2 linked regions of the Xenopus tropicalis genome follow. The protein of the gene in region 1 purifies or fractionates together with the protein of each later gene. This does not show direct contact. Links are inferred from orthologs where the notes say so. Each region holds a gene or a part of one and is shown on either strand. Other genes may lie near its edges.

What was found. The genes of interacting proteins can lie anywhere in the genome.
Region 2: the proteins of kifap3 (region 1) and kif3c purify together in Homo sapiens (co-immunoprecipitation; 3 studies listed by BioGRID and IntAct, counting the BioPlex papers as one, with this or other methods). This does not show direct contact. The link is inferred for Xenopus tropicalis from reciprocal best matches to the Homo sapiens genes KIFAP3 and KIF3C.

What each region holds. Positions count from the first base shown.
Region 1 is NC_030680.2:118,547,055-118,550,554, reverse strand, and holds part of kifap3 (kinesin-associated protein 3), read right to left. Parts: intron 3,132-3,500; coding exon 2,977-3,131; intron 1-2,976. UniProt on the Homo sapiens protein: Involved in tethering the chromosomes to the spindle pole and in chromosome movement. Binds to the tail domain of the KIF3A/KIF3B heterodimer to form a heterotrimeric KIF3 complex and may regulate the membrane binding of this complex.
Region 2 is NC_030681.2:154,245,938-154,250,009, forward strand, and holds the start of kif3c (kinesin-like protein KIF3C), read right to left. Parts: upstream 2,801-4,072; 5' UTR 2,222-2,800; coding exon 809-2,221; intron 1-808.

The DNA.
Region 1 (3,500 bases):
TACTAAAAGTTAGTTTTAGGGAGAAGACACATGGAGCTACTAGCAGCAGCTATTTGTCACGGAAAGGGAAATCATTTCAAAAAGAAGAATTATTTGTTTATAATGGAGTCTATGGGAGACAGCCGTCCCCTAATTTGGAGCGTTCTGGATAACGGGTTTCAGCATAACAGATCCCTTTCCTGTATCCATTATATAATAAAAATAAACTAAAAAATAGTGAAATATATGATTGTTTTAAATCCTGTATGGAGATCTGTTAAGCCAGAATGGTCAAATTACATACATAGCTCTAACGCTAACATTCTTTGGTACGTTTGCCTCTCTCCTGTGTTCCTTATTTATGTTTAAACAAACAAAGGGCATTGATCTTAGACAATTCACACATAACATGCAAGCCATCACAGGGCATAGGGAATACCAGCGCTGGCCAGTTTGTGTCCCAAGTCATGTTATGTTTCTTAGCCTGCCCATGGGCTCTACTGCTGTCACTTCATTTTCCCATAATTTGGTCCAGAAACATTTTTTTTTTTAGCTTTGTTGGATAACATTCCCACTGCTTGTGAAAAGATGGACAGCACAGCTGTTTCCAAACAGTTACATTCATAAAGAGGTCAGAAACCACAGACACATTTAATCCCTGTGTATTGCAGTGGCTTCAGTCACAATGCTATGGGAACCTTTCAATCCGCCCAAAGGCACAGAACATAATTCCACAACTTGCTTCTGCACTAGGATATTATATTGGTTCCTTAACTCTGCTAAACATTTTCTGTGTTCCTATTACAGGCTTAGTTGGCCTTTCCTTTTTTGTCCCAAATATTATTTCAAACCGTGTCTGTGACATTTACACTGCCGTGAAAACATTTAATAAAATATCACCCTTTTCGTTTAATGCTAACCAAAAGCAGGATGACATTTCATCACGGTATTTTTCTTCAGCTCATCTTACAAAAATGTTACTGTTCTTTCCCAGTGTTGGCTTTATAGCAGCAACTAAGTCAGAGCATCGTCACCCGCTGGACTGGATGATACTGAGCAGGAAATGAAACACTGGCTTACATTAAGCTCGTGCGAAGTGGTAAAAACAGCCTTGAAAACAAAGTATGGGTTTAACCGAGAAAGACTTTGCACTTCGAGGGGAAGAACACACAAATATAGGAATTTAGAAATATCACATAAAAAAATACTAGTTATTCAGCAAAACATTTCAACCTGTGAGCGTTTCCCAGCTGGTTTTAACTAGGAGACATTAAATGACAATACATAAAAAAAAGAGGAGAATTCTATTGAAGCAGCTCTTTGGGAAGCATTAGTGCGCTCAGTTAATATTAAACCTTTTTTTTAGTGTTATTGTTATTAAAAGCTTAGAGAAAAGACTGAAGAGTCTTGAATTCTGCCAAGCATTCCATAAAAAAAAACAGAAAGCCTAGCAAATACTTACATTATTATTATTTTGAACAAAATGCAGGCTGCATCTATTACAATTTTAAAAGCACATCAAATAGCTTACTTGTAAGCTCCAGATAGAGAATAAAGCCAGACCACCTGGACTAAAAATTTATAGGTGAAATCCTTTCGGATAATACCCCAAAACACAATAACCAATAATAGCATTGTAAAGAACATAATGAACCCATGTTTTGCCCGTGAGAGGAAAACCAAAGAATACTGGTTTTATAGTCTCTGAGACATTATTACATATACTACCTACAGCACACAGAGCAGAAAGCTGAGGGTTTTTTTTTTTTTATTGTTAAAACAAAGTGCAAGCAAAAAAAGTGCATAAAGTATGTTATTGTAACAAAAAGAATGCAGATAAGCAACAATTTGCACTATATTCTATAACACATGTATGTGTGCACTTAGTCCAGTACAGAATCAGGTTATGTAACAAAAGCATGAAGTCCTTGTGGCCTGTTTGTTAAAAGGGTAGTTCACCTTAATTAACGAATTATGTTGTAGAATGGATAATTCTTAGCAACCTTTCAAAAGGTCTTCATTTTTATAGTTTTTGAATTATTTGCCTACTTCTTCTGAATGTTTCCAGCTGTCAAATGGGGGTCACTGACCCCAGTAGCCAAAAAACTATTGCTCTGTGAGGCTACATTTTTATTGTTATTGCTACTTTTTATCACTTTTCTTTATATTCAGGCCTAGGATAGGATAATTTGCTAGGATAATTTGTACCCTAGCAACCAGATAGCTGCTGAAATTCCAAACTGAATAGCTACTGAACAAAAAGCTAAAAGGATTTTAATGAATGAAAGTAAGGTTTTCTCTTAGCTGTGCATTCTTGCTCATGCTGACAAATGCAGCCCTCACTACACTTTATACAAAATGCCAGTGTCTCTTTGGCCTTGCTCTTAAAGGAACAGTAACACCAAAAAATGAAAGTGTATAAAAGTAACTAAAATATAATGTGCTGCTGCCCTGCACTGGTAAAAGTTGTGTGTTTACTTCAGAAAGTCTACTATAATTTATATAAATAAGCTGCTATGTAGCCATGGAGGCAGCCATTCAAAGGAGAAAAGGCACAGGCACATAGCAGATAACAGATAAAACATTATTGTATTCTACAGAACTTATCTGTTATCTGCTATGTAACCTGTGCCTTTTCTCCTTTTTTCCAGCTTGAGTGGCTGCCCCCGTGGCTACACAGCAGCTTATTATATAAATTATAGTAGTGTTACTGTAACAAACACACCAGTTTTACCAGTGCAGGGCAACAGTGCATTATATTTTTATTACTTTAAAGCTCTTTCATTTTTTGGTGTTACTGTTCCTTTAATTGTGAAGCTATATTGAAAACTTTGAAAGTTCTAGATGAATGGAGGATGTGTGCACTTTTTTTAAAAATTAATAAATAAACCCCCAGGAATCAGATAGGGAATCAAACTAATTACACAGGCAGACTCTACACTTCAAAGGTTCATAAAACTGTGACGAAGGAGCCACTATCAGTTTTGCAGATCTTACCTTTACTTTGCAATCCCTCTCTACGGTTCTGGAGGTAATAAAGCAGCTGCTCCACTTCTGCAAGTTTAGATGGGTGAATAAGTTTGCATTCATCCACCACTTTCCGTGCAAGAGAGGAAATATCTGTATTGGCATTGAGACTTTTCAGACGAATGCTAAATGAATAAAAAAAATAAAGCAATCAAGTTGGTGTCTGTATTTCATGTGTTATTTACATTAACCTTGGTTAATGTGCCAGGCTTCCCCAGACAGGTCATACAATTAGAAATAATAATTTTGTATTTAAATACTAGAACATCTGCCTTTATGTCAACATCCTCAAACACCTTCACTAGGGCTGGAACTAGGGGTAGGCAGCTGCCTAGGGCGCAGTTATGGGAAAAATGAAACCTTCATAGACTCCCTGCTCACCTACCCCTGTCTTGCTGTAAGTTCACACACAGGAGAGCAGAAGCGATCCACAAGGGTGGAGGAAGGAGGGTAACATTGGTGCTACCACTGATGTTCTGTGCTTTGGTGCGACA
Region 2 (4,072 bases), on another chromosome or scaffold:
CTTACTACAATATACATACCCCCAAGCCCCAGAGGTAAAGATAACCTTTTTGAGTTATACATTAGCCCTGTGTTGTAAGAGAAGGCAGAGGCATCCTCTCACCCCATCAGCTGTAGGGTGATAATCTCTTCCCACTAAATGGTAACATGAAATAGTGGGTGACCCCAATGGCACTGGGTTATTTAACATCATCTTATTATTATTTTATTATTATTGTCCTGATTAAGATCACTGTTTACCCGTTATTAAGGGGCCACAGCTGTGCACACAATCCATTAAGGTGCATGGCTGCCTAGAAACCAGTGCAATCTGCAGCATGCATTGTGGGTTTTATATGTGGCCGATAGTAACGGGAAAGCAGACCTTCTTTACTAGAGGGTTGCATTATACTATACACTAGGGTTGCTACCTCACCCCGGCCGCATATTAAACCCACATCCTACATGGCTAATTAGCAATTCATTTCAATGCACGCTGCAGACTGAACTGATTTATGTGCAGCCATGCAGCAGGTATCTAAATTAATTGCTAATTAGCCGTGCAAAACGTGGAATCAATATGTGGCCAGTATTGAAGGGGTGAGGTGGCCACCTTATATACACCATGGATGTTCAACCAGCAGCCATTGGAATGTTGTTGGACTACAACTACCAACATCCCACTGACAGCGGAAGGCTGATAATGACACTGGTACTCGTAGCTCAACATCAATTAGAGCACTGCAGGCTGATCTCCCCCCTCCTCAATGGTTCGGCTCCATCTGAGCAAGTAAACAAGTGTTTCTCCCAGTGGAATGAGTGCAACTTACCTTGAATTTCACAGCCAGCAGCTCTGTAGCTTTCTGCTCCTTGGTCAGATCATCCATCATCTTCTCCTTCTCTTCTATCAGCTTCAGTTTCTCCTCTGCCAATAGACTGTGATCATCTTGGATGGCGGCCTTCTCCTGCTCAATCCTCTCTGCCTGCTCCTTCAGGTAACTTCCTACGTTCTTCTCGATGAGCTTGTCTTCATTGTCTTCTTCTGCCTCCGTATCTGGAGTGCCGTCTCCATCCACAGACTTTTTTCTGCGGCTGTTCCTTCTTCTCTTCTTACTCAGCATCCCTCGTTTCTCCAGCTGGGCTTTTAGTCGAGCGATTTCCTCTTGGAACTCCCTCAACAATGTGTCCTTTGGGTCCTCGTTGATTCTAGGCTTGTTCTTGATGTTCTTGGCCCTATTGGCAAATCTGAGGGTGGACAAGGTCTCGTCGTAATTGACCGAAGCCGGCCCTAAAGTTGCCACCATAATGGTTTTTGCATTGCCGCCCAGAGAATCCTGAAGCAAGCGGGTGAGTTTGGAGTCTCTGTAAGGAATATGGGTGCTTCTGCCATCAACCAGTGCAGAGATCACATTACCCAGCGCTGAAAGTGAGAGGTTAATTTTTGAAGCTTCTTTAGGCCTGTCACCATTTATTCCTGTTTTGCTTTGTCTCTCACTGCCAGCTAAGTCCACCAGGTTGAGTTTCCCCACTCGGATATGCTCTTCCCCATCCACTCCAATTTCGCTGCACTCCACCGTGATGACAAAAATGGTGTGGGACCTTGAGCTGTACTCGTTCATATATGTGCAGGCCACGGACCGTGACTGGTTGCCCAAATTCATGACATGTTCGATCTCCTTGACGTTCTTTGTCACAAAAGACGAGAGGTCCTTGATGTAAACTCCGGTCTCGGGATTCTCCTTGAGTTCGAGCTTCCTATTCTGGTCTTTGCACAAAAGGTCTCTGATCTCCTCCTGGTAGATTTCGAGGTAAGACGCCCTCACCAAATATTGCTGGTTTTGGGAGCGGGAGATGTGAGTGAAAATATGGTCAAAAGTATTAGGGATCACCCCTCTTTTCTCAGGCTCGGCCCAAACACCTTGCATAGTGTAGGTCTTTCCGGTGCCGGTCTGCCCGTAAGCAAATATGGTCCCGTTGAACCCCTGCAGCACCGAGTCAATAAGAGGCCTAACTGTCTCATCGTACAGGTCCGCCTGCTTCGAGCTGGCATCGTATACGGCATCGAATGTGAACGTCTTTGCCAGTTCCCCTGGATTTGCCCTTGGATGCCTCATAGTCACTTGGCCCAGTTTAATATCCATATCAACAATGCCCTCGTAGCCAGCTGCCTCCTCTTTCCTGTTGGTAGGGCGGCATCGTACCACCACCTTCAGCGCCTCGCTACTCTTAGCTTTGCTGCACATCTTGACTCTCCTTTTTGCTCCCGTCTGGTGCTTTTGTTTATCCCAAGGCAACGCAAACCCACAGACACACCTCAGAACCCACAGACGCCCCGGTGCAAGGATTTTTCAATCCTCCCCTTCTCACCTTTGCTTTCCTGAACAGAAGGATTTACTGGGCGGAATAATCCCCTGGTGGCATCTCCTTAGAAATTGCAGGAGCTTCATTGCGCAGCCCCCATGAGATACACAGGAGCCGTTCTAGCTTGTACGGGAAAGGACGGGGATCTGCAGCAAGGGGGTAAATAAGGAAATGTACCAAGTGCCCCCGGTGTGTGGGTAGTCAGAGCCGGAGACAAATCCTGTGCCAGGTTCCTGGGAGGCATCTGGAAACGCCTTGGCTGTTCCTCAGCTGTAGATGCTCATTCATTGCAGTGCGGCTGTTCTGTGTGTGAGAATGACAGGCAAAAACAAGGACAGGGGATGAGGCGGGGTCTCACAATGATGCTGTGGTGCTCGGAGAGGGTGGGGGGCAGATGCCTCTACTGACTGCTTTGCTGTGCAGGAAAACAGCCAGATAGGACACAATGCTCAGCTAATGCTTCCCCATCGGAGCCTGCCCACCGGCTGAGCTCACTCCCCACAGAGATGTTATCCTGCACAGGAATTCTGGGGCTTGTAGTTCTCAGCCGCTTGGTGAGTGTGGCAGACGTGCCACTAAGGCTCTTATTCTGCAGAGATTCAGAAAAAACAAAACAGGCCAGTGATTGGCTGACAGGCATAGCAACTCCCAGAATCCCCTTACAGCCAAGCAAAATGTGAGACATTAAAAGAGCAATGCTAAATAGAGATTGTAGGATTTTATTGGTAGTAAGTGTGAGTCCCTGGCAATGATATGTACAATGGAAATAGAGCATTTGGGCTGGCTACATACCTAAATAGAATTAGAATACATAGAATACATAATAATTAGTGTAACAAGGTTACAGATATATAGAAACATTGGGGTAACAGTCACCCTGCTATAGTTCCAGGGGTACCCAGGGCACAAATAAGCACTCACCCCAAATCTCCCCCTAACTGGCCTTCAGGCTGGGCCCCCTTAGCCCATAACAAGGTTACAGATATATAGAAACATTGGGGTAACAGTCACCCTGCTATAGTTCCAGGGGTACCCAGGGCACAAATAAGCACTCACCCCAAATCCCCCCCTAACTGGCCTTCAGGCTGGGCCCCCTTAGCCCATAACAAGGTTACAGATATATAGAAACATTGGGGTAAGAGTCACCCTGCTATAGTTCCAGGGGTACCCAGGGCACAAATAAGCACCCACCCCAAATCCCCCCCCAACTGGCCTTCAGGCTGGGCCCCCTTAGCCCATAACAAGGTTACAGATATATAGAAACATTGGGGTAACAGTCACCCCGCTATAGTTCCAGGGGTACCCAGGGCACAAATAAGCATTCACCCCAAATCCCCCCCCTAACTGGCCTTCAGGCTGGGCCCCCTTAGCCCATAACAAGGTTACAGATATATAGAAACATTGGGGTAACAGTCACCCTGCTATAGTTCCAGGGGTACCCAGGGCACAAATAAGCACTCACCCCAAATCCCCCCCTAACTGGCCTTCAGGCTGGGCCCCCTTAGCCCATAACAAGGTTACAGATATATAGAAACATTGGGGTAACAGTCACCCTGCTATAGTTCCAGGGGTACCCAGGGCACAAATAAGCACTCACCCCAAATCCCCCCCCTAACTGGCCTTCAGGCTGGGCCCCCTTAGCCCATAACAAGGTTACAGATATATAGAAACATTGGGGTAACAGTCACCCCGCTATAGTTCCAGGGGTACCCAGGGCACAAATAAGCACTCAC